Linked DNA regions of Coturnix japonica. The protein of the gene in region 1 interacts with the protein of each later gene in a pairwise test. Links are inferred from orthologs where the notes say so. Each region holds a gene or a part of one and is shown in the gene's direction. Other genes may lie near its edges.

The links. The genes of interacting proteins can lie anywhere in the genome.
Region 2: the proteins of CIAO1 (region 1) and CIAO2B interact in binary tests that used the Homo sapiens proteins (3 or more experiments, as listed by UniProt). The two-hybrid records come from large-scale screens. The link is inferred for Coturnix japonica from reciprocal best matches to the Homo sapiens genes CIAO1 and CIAO2B.

Annotation. Positions count from the first base shown.
Region 1 is NC_029537.1:1,034,086-1,038,867, forward strand, and holds the start of CIAO1 (probable cytosolic iron-sulfur protein assembly protein CIAO1), read left to right. Parts: upstream 1-1,790; 5' UTR 1,791-1,815; coding exon 1,816-1,965; intron 1,966-2,512; coding exon 2,513-2,662; intron 2,663-2,928; coding exon 2,929-3,040; intron 3,041-3,624; coding exon 3,625-3,713; intron 3,714-3,895; coding exon 3,896-4,097; intron 4,098-4,782. Other genes in the region: TMEM127 (transmembrane protein 127), read right to left, coding at 1-20, 1,422-1,677. UniProt on the Homo sapiens protein: Key component of the cytosolic iron-sulfur protein assembly (CIA) complex, a multiprotein complex that mediates the incorporation of iron-sulfur cluster into extramitochondrial Fe/S proteins.
Region 2 is NC_029526.1:9,722,505-9,726,529, forward strand, and holds CIAO2B (cytosolic iron-sulfur assembly component 2B), read left to right. Parts: upstream 1-1,378; 5' UTR 1,379-1,450; coding exon 1,451-1,583; intron 1,584-1,662; coding exon 1,663-1,742; intron 1,743-1,849; coding exon 1,850-1,975; exon of another isoform or gene 1,976-1,993; intron 1,994-2,413; coding exon 2,414-2,459; intron 2,460-2,964; coding exon 2,965-3,062; 3' UTR 3,063-3,179; downstream 3,180-4,025. Other genes in the region: fatty acyl-CoA hydrolase precursor, medium chain-like, read right to left, coding at 213-288.

The DNA of each region.
Region 1 (4,782 bases):
CTGAGGGTTCATGCAATAATCTATGGGGAGAAATGGAGGCGATCGGAGCCCTACAGCTCAGCATTGCTGGGATTCAGGTGATGCTTTGAGCCTTAATGCCTTGAGAATCATAGCAAAGAGTGGGGCCAGAGCCCAGCTGAGGGTTTTACATTGGCCTCAATACAACCCACATTGGTTCTATAGGGGTTTTGCTGTGTTTTATGCATTAAAACAGCCCAGAACACACAACTTGGCCCAGCTTCCTCCTTCCCCTTTGCTTTAAGGGCCTGATCCATGCACTGACACCACCCCAACCCACAGCAGGAAGGGCTGCAATGGACTCACAGCCCCCAGCTTTAATGGGGGGTAATTAGCACCGGGACACGGCAATGGGGTGGAATGCTCTTCCTGGGGGGGGTGTCACCCCATTGACCCCATATATGGGGCCATAGGAACGGCTGGGTGGGGAATAGGGCACGGATGGGGCTGTTGTTGTTGGGCCATAAGGATGGAAGGGGCAGGAAGCACAAAGTGGCTGCTCCCAAACCTCAGCCCCATAATGACCCATAGGAGCCCCATAGCGGCCCTATAACAACCAATAAGGACTCCATCAGCCTTATAACAACCCCAGACCGAGCCCCATAACGACTCCATAACAAGCCCATATCGAGCCCCATAAGGACCCCATAATGACCCCATAGTGACCCCATAAAAACCCCATACCGACCCTATAAAACCCCATAAAAACCCCATAGACCCATAAAGACCCCATAAAGACCCTATAAGGAGACTCATAATGAGACCCGTAACGAGCCCCATAAGGACCCCATAGCGAGCCCCATAGCGATACCCATACCGAGCTCCATAAGGGCCTCATACCTATCCCATAAGGACCCCATAGCGACCCCATAAGGACCCCATAAGACCCCATAATGACCCCATAAGAACCCCATAAGGACCCCATACCGACCCCATAACAACCCCATACCGAGCCCCATCAGCTCCATACCAATTCCCATACCGAGCCCATAATACGCCCCATACCGATCCCATACCGGCCCCATACTGAGCCCCATAAGGACCCCATACTGAGCCCCATAGGAGCCCCAGACCGACCCCATACGGACCCCCATAACGACCCCATAGCGAGCCCCATACCGAGCCACATACCGATCCCATAACGACCCAATACTGACCCCATAAGGACCCCATAATAAGCCCCATACCGATCCCATACCGATCCAATAAGGACCCCACACCGAGCCCTATAGCGAACCCATAGCGGCCCCATAGCGGCCCCATAGCGACCCCATAGCGGGCCCATAGCGAGCCCCATAGGGACCCCATAAGGACCCCATAAGGACCCCATAACCCCATAAGGACCCTATAAGCCCCATAAGGACCCTATACCGCCCCACTCTCCCCGCTCTCCCGTTTCTCACCCCTCAGCAGCTCGGTCCTGACGGTCCCCATCACATCGGCCACCCCCAGCTCCTGCCGCCCGCAGGTCCCGCCGTGGATCCGGAGCCAGGCGGGTTCGGCCAGCGCGGTGCAGAGCGCGGTGATGGACAGAGCCCCGGGCAGCGCCGACGCCAGGCTCCGCTCCGGTTGTTTGGGCAGCGCCCCCCCCCCGCCGCCTCCCGCCGTTCCCCGCCGCCTCCCCCTGCCGTGCAGCCCGGGCCCGGCCGGGTTGTACATGGCTGCGGCCCGAACAGCCGGCACCGCCTCAGGCCGCGGGCTCCGCTTCCGCTTCCGGCGAGCGCGGCGGTGACGTCACTAGGGCGGCAACATGGCGGCGCTTCCGCTTCCGGTGTGACGTCATTACGGTGCGACGCGATGAAGGAGGCGCTGGTGCTGCAGAGCCGCGTGGCGGCGCATCCCGAGGCGCGGTGCTGGTTCCTGGCGTGGAGCCCAAACGGGAACCTCATCGCGTCCTGCGGCGGGGACCGGGCCGTGAGAGTGTGGGGGCGGGACGGTACCGAGGGATAACGGGAACGAGGGGGATAACGGGGCGGAAGGAAGGGGCGGGGCCTCAAGGGTGGGGGCGGGGCTAAGAGAGGGCGCAGCCAATGGCTGACGAGTAGAGGCGGGGCTAAGGGAGGCCCCAGCCAATGGCTGATGAGTAGGGGCGGGGACAATGAATGGGGGCGGGGCTATGAGAGGGAGCGGCCAATGGGTGACGAGTAGGGGCGGGAACACGGTGAAAGGGGGCGGGGCTAAGAGGGTCGTGGGCGGGGCTTAAAGGAGGGGGCGGGGCTAAGAGAGGGCGCAGCCAATGGCTGACGAGTAGAGGCGGAGACATAGTGAATGTGGGCGGGGCCAGATGGTGGTGGGAGGGGCTTAAGGAAGGGGCGGGGCTAAGGGAGGGTGTGGCCAATAGGAGGCGGAGCCGAGAGGGTGGGGTAAAAAGGGCGGGGCCAGAGGAGCGTGGGAGGGGCTTAAAGGAGGGGGCGGGCTTAATGGCCCTAATACACGTGGGTGGGGTGGGGGCTGGGCTCCTATTGGGGTCCCCCATCCACCCCCCCCCTATTAGGGTCAGCTGGAGGCTTGCCGTGCTGTGCTGTCTGATGGCCACCAACGCACAGTGAGGAGAGTGGCCTGGTCGCCCTGTGGCTCCTATTTGGCCTCTGCCAGCTTCGACGCCACCACGTGCATCTGGAAGCGCTGCCAGGACGGCTTCGAGGTCAGACCCCCCCCACAGCCCCATAACACAGCCCCATAACCAGCCCATAACCCAGCCCATACCCAGCCCCACAACCACCCCATAACCAGCCCACCCCCACAACCAAGCCCACAACCCAGCCCACTAACCCAGCAACCCCCATAACCAGCCCCATAACCCAGCCCCATAACCCAGCCCCATAACCCAGCCCCATAACCCAGCCCCATAACCCAGCCCCATAACCCAGCCCCATAGTGGCGCCCTGCAGCTCCTTGTGCCCCCCACAGTGCGTCACCACATTGGAAGGACACGAAAACGAGGTGAAGTCGGTGGCCTGGGCGCCGTCGGGCAGCCTGCTGGCAACGTGCAGCCGGGACAAGAGCGTGTGGGTCTGGGAAGGTGAGGGGGGGAATGAGGGGACCCCAAGGGCATCGGCCCCACTGTGTCCCTGCTGTCCTCAATACTGCCCCTTCTGGCCCCATTGCTGCCCCTTCTGCCCCCTATACTGCCCCTTCTGGCCCCATTGTTGCCCCTTCTGCCCCCTATACTGCCCCTTCTGGCCCCATTGCTGCCCCTTCCATCCCCACTGTGTCCCTTCTGGCCCCATTGTTGCCCCTTCTGCCCCNCCCTTCTGCCCCCTATACTGCCCCTTCTGGCCCCATTGCTGCCCCTTCCATCCCCACTGTGTCCCTTCTGGCCCCATTGTTGCCCCTTCTGCCCCCTATACTGTCCCTTCTGGCCCCATTGCTGCCCCTTCTGCCCCCTATACTGTCCCTTCTGGCCCCATTGCTGCCCCTTCTGCCCCCTATACTGCCCCTTGTGGCCCCATTGCTGTCCCTTCTGCCCCCTATACTGCCCCTTCTGGCCCCATTGCTGCCCCTTCCATCCCCACTGTGTCCCTTCTGGCCCCATTGTTGCCCCTTCTGACCCCAATACTGTCCCTTCTGGCCCCATTCCCTCATGGAAGGTGTTTTTCCCCGCAGTGGATGAAGAGGAGGAATACGAGTGTGTCAGCGTCCTCAACTCTCACACTCAGGACGTCAAGCACGTGGTGTGGCATCCCAACCAGGAGGTGAGAGCCCAGCTCAAGGGCAGCGGGACCTGCGGGCATCACTGTGTGTGATGGGAAAGGATCTGAGCCACAGGGCCATAAGGAGTCAGTGCTCCCAAGAGATGGGGTTTGAATGGTCCTCTATGGGGGCAGGGCTTTGCAATCCCTGTGGGTTTGGGGTGTTGATCCCATTCCTGTCCCAGCTCCTGGCTTCAGCCAGCTACGACGACACGGTGAAGCTGTACCACGAGGAGGAGGACGACTGGGTTTGTTGTGCCACGTTGGAGGGTCACGAATCCACCGTGTGGAGCATCGCGTTCGATGGCAGCGGGCAGCGCCTGGCGTCCTGCAGCGACGACAAGACCGTGCGCATCTGGCAGTGCTACAAGCCGGGCAATGAGGAGGGTGAGCTCCTAACACAGCTCCTTGCTGGGACTTGGATCACTCAGTGCTGTGTTGGATCACTCAGTGCTGTGTTGGATCACTCAGTGCTGTGTGTTGGATCACTCAGTGTTGAATCACCAGTGCTGTACATTGGCCATCAACTCATGCTCGTGTTGGATCACTCATGCTGTTGTGTTGGTATCTATCTCAGTGCTGTGTTGTGATCCTATTCCAGGTGCCTGTGTGGTATCACTCATTTGCATGGCCCGTGTGTTGATATTCCACTCAGGTGCTGTGTTGATCCATTCAGTGCTGTGGTGTGTTGTATTCACTCAGTGCTGTGTTGGATCACTCAGTGCTGTGTGTTGGATCACTCAGTGCTGTGTTGGATCACTCAGTGCCTGTGTGTTGGAATCACTCAGCTGCTGTGCTTGGATCCTCAGTGCTGTGTGTTGATCCACTCAGTGCTGTGTGTTGGTTACAGCGTGCTCTCGGTGCTGTACTGATTGGATCACTCAGTGCTGTGTGTTGGTATCATCCTCAGTGCTGTAACACATTGATCACTAAGTGCGGTGTGGATCACTTCAGTGCTTGTGTGTTGGATCACTCAGTGCTGTGCATTGGATCACTCAGTGCTGTGTGTTGGATCACTCAGTGTTGGATCACTCAGTGCTGTGTTGGATCACTCAGTGCTTACATGGATCAC
Region 2 (4,025 bases), on another chromosome or scaffold:
CATAAAAGCATCTCAAAATGGTTTCATTAAAAAAAAAAAGTCACTTTTGCGCTGAGCTTCTTAGGATCCTTTTGCAGATTGTTAATACAAATACAGGAGAAGTACTGCCTTTGAAAACTACTACCCTGTAATTTATTAGTGCAGTTTGTTTCCCCATTGGCAGTTAAAGAAATAATAATCAAAAATCCAAATCAAAAGACTTTGCATCTCACCTTCTGTTCCATAAATGATGAATGTTATACCACAAAACAAGATATAAAGCAAAGAAATCTGCGTTTGAGGAGCCATTTTTCTCCCAGGTTGGATTCCAGGTTATTTTCTGTTCTCTATGCGGAAGACACTGGTACAAAGGTCTCTGCTGACTGTGTAGTAGGGAGTACAGCTAAATCCCCTTCTGAAAATGCACCGCATTAGCACTTTCAGAGCTGTTACTGAGATGGAATACAAATACAATCCCTTAGTGTAACACACCTATTCATTACCTGATCCTGATGATGGATGATTTGGCCTCGCATCAACTGTGAACAATAAAAGGTCTTATCCTCATTAATCTGTTTTTAATTCTACAATCCTACGCACACCTCAATTCCCTCTGAAGTATTTACTACTTCATATTTTGAATAATATCAGTGCTACAAAGCAGTGAAATTTCAAAGAGTTTCAGAAGTACTGACTTACAATTCCTGTAAAGAAATGAACACAACAAAAAGCATGGTTGCAGATTACAAATAACTAGGAAGAAAGGAAGAAAGAAAAAAGCTTAGCTATTGCAAAGGTTTGATGAACGCTGGCATATCTGCACCACAATTGGCATGGTACGTGTGCTTTTCTGCAAGAACTGGCCTCCAACTTCCAAAGTAGTTTTTTAACACTTCTGCATATTTAAAATTAAATGAGATATTAAAGCTCCAGCACGAAGATACATAAAGCCTGCAAAGCCATCTTCTCCAACACAAATGGGTGATACATCATGCAAGTTCACCCTGTCTTGAAACACAGATTTGTCAGTTGGTTCTTCTTTAGATGCTTTTTCACCATAACGAGTTTCTCCTCAAAATACCAAAGCAGGAAGTGAGACCTATCAGCTCAAATGAGCTCTGGGCTATCCCACATAACAGCCCCTGCTCACCTCAGCAGCTTGGGCCATCACCTCCTTATCCTTTTTCTCCCTCTTCTCAGTGAACAAAATCAGTATCAGGTGTATTAGCAAAACGTTTTTAACACGCGACTCAACTCCCCCGCAGCACGGAGCTCACCTCGACGCCCCACAGCACCCCCCGCTCACCCACACCCCCATACCCCCCGCCCATCTCCTCTCCCCGCCGGCCTCAGCCCCGTTTCGTGCTGTTCCATCGCTCCCCCACACAGGGGCACTCTCGCACAAGCCGTGCCCGCCCGGTGCGTTGGTGAATCGCGTCCGGGCTCCTTCCGCTCCTCCTGCAGCGCAGACATGGTGGGTCCGGGCGCTGCGCCGCTGGAGAACGCCAACCCGCTCGTGTACCGCCGCTCGGGGGAGCGGCCCGTGACGGCGCGGGAGGAGGACGATGAGCTGCCCGACTCTATCGACGACCGGGAGATCTTTGATATCCTGCCGGCAGGGAGGGGATGGGGGGGTTTGATGCGGGGAGGGCGGCCTCCATCCTGCTTTCCTTAACGCGGCACATCTCATCCGCTCCATTAACGACCCCGAGCATCCCCTGACCCTGGAGGAGCTGAATGTCGTCGAGCAAGTTCGAGTTAAAGTGAGACTGTCTTGTTTTTTGTTGTTGATTTGTTTCCAACTTGTTTGCTCATTACATTGTTTTTGTATTCTTATTTTTTGGCCACACGCCTGTTTGTTTTCCAACAGGTGAACGATGCTGAGAGCACCGTAGTGGTGGAGTTCACACCCACGATCCCGCACTGCAGCATGGCAACGCTCATCGGCCTGTCCATAAAGGTGAAACTGATCAGATCACTGCCCGAGAGGTTTAAGGTGAGTGGTAAAATCGCTCTGGAAAGCAGAAGAGACAGACGGTGTTCAGAAAACAGCTAAATTAGAAAATGAAGCCACTAGAACTTTAGGTTCCATGTTATGGAGGAGGGAAACACTCCAGGCCAAGGAAAAAACTAAACAAACAGATTGGTGCAGAGCTGCAGTTCTGTGCTATAGCATCACAGGTGAGTGAGGTTGTGGTGTAAAGGCACGAGGGCACAGGAGATGGCAGTGCTTCACCTCCCTGCCTGTCGGAGGCTTACTCAGGTGGGAGTGCAGTGTTCTTTTGGACTGGGTTTTATTCTTCTGGGTACAGTAGCTGGCTGTGTCAGGAATGTCTTTCATTGTTGCTTTATTTTGCTATTTTCTTAATTAAATACTTTCATCTTTGAGGGTTTTATTGACTTGTCTCCTTTTTCTTTCTCCATGCTTTTTAAGATGGACGTTCACATAACACCAGGAACACATGCCTCTGAACACGCAGGTAAATGTTTTAATGCTCTGTTGTGTGGTTTTCTTTTATTACTCTAAAAATTAGAGAAAAGATAGATCCCTCCACCTGCAGATCAGCTGTTTGGTACCTGTATGCAAACCAGCCCCTTCTAGGAGATGTTACAGAATGGGAATATGTAATAACAAAACTTAAAAGTGTGTAGTGTCTTAGTTTAAATGTTTCCTTGGACAGCTTGTGCTGTCAAGTCGTCATTGATTTACCTGGAAGGCACAGAAAGAGGGGGGAGAGCTGGAGGTAAATTTCCTGTCCTGTTACATGTGCACAGCTTCCTGCTGCTGAATCATAAATAACTTACTGGTTTCAGATCTGCTACAGAACTGTCATTGACTTTTGGCCACAGCTTTGTGGTGTAGTTAGCATCTGTGGATTGTAGCTCAGTACCACAGCAACAATGAGACTCACTGTAAAGTGCTTCTAAAAGGACCTCTTATACCAATATTTTGACCGGTTCCTTGTGGTATTTCTTTTTGTACAGTTAATAAACAGCTTGCTGATAAAGAACGTGTAGCAGCTGCTTTGGAGAACTCTCACTTATTGGAAGTGGTAAATCAGTGTTTGTCTGCTCGATCGTAATTGCCTGATCAGGAAACCAGTGGTATTCTGCTGTATTAATTTTGTATGTGAGTGATGTTGCTAGTGTTACATGCATCTATGAGCAAAATAAAACTACATTATAGAAGCGTTCCATTACTTCGTCAAAACAAATTAAAGTAGTATGGAGAAAATTAGCTTGCTGGCAGCTATAAAGCTATAATGTAAATTGGCTTTTTCTGTTTGCTAATAATTGCACTGATGGGGTTTTTATCTGAACTTTTAAAGAATATTTGGTTGAACTTGTTTTTAAACAGGTTTCTTACTATCTATAAACTGCATTATGAAAGTGGCTTTTGCACATTGGGTTTCACAAGTATACCAAGCTAAGCAGCAGTTAAAATCTTTATACTCATGATTATTTTGGACTTTGACAGATTTTCCTTTAAACATCAAGATTTTTACAAAGATGAGTAGGTCACAAACAGATTGCTTTAACCTACACATCAAACAGAGGAGGAATTAGTAAATTATACTTAATCCGCATCTTAGCTTTCACCACTACATAATAATAGTAGTAAATAACGTATTGGATGTTACCACTTGCCTCCCAAGCCATGTTACACACAGCAGTCCTATGGGTACACTTTGCACTGCTTCCTTTTTCAGAGAAGCAACAGTATATGCTTAGGTTGTTCATAGTATGTAGTTGAGGAGCATCTTTTCAATAAAGGGAATTCATTACACAGTGTCAAAGAAAAGGTCTGACTTCTGCTACTGAAGGATGGATAATTCCATAACTTTGGATCTGTTGTATTTCTTTAAATGATGTGAATGTTGTATTAATTAGGTGATAGAAACAACAGAAGGGACAAACCATTGTTACTTGGCTGAAGATCGCAGCTCCTCCTGTATGGGGCTCCCTCAGCCTGAGAACTTGCTGAATGCTGATGTTCTGCCTCTTTCAGCAAAAATCTTGCACTGCTCAGCTTTAATGATCAGTAG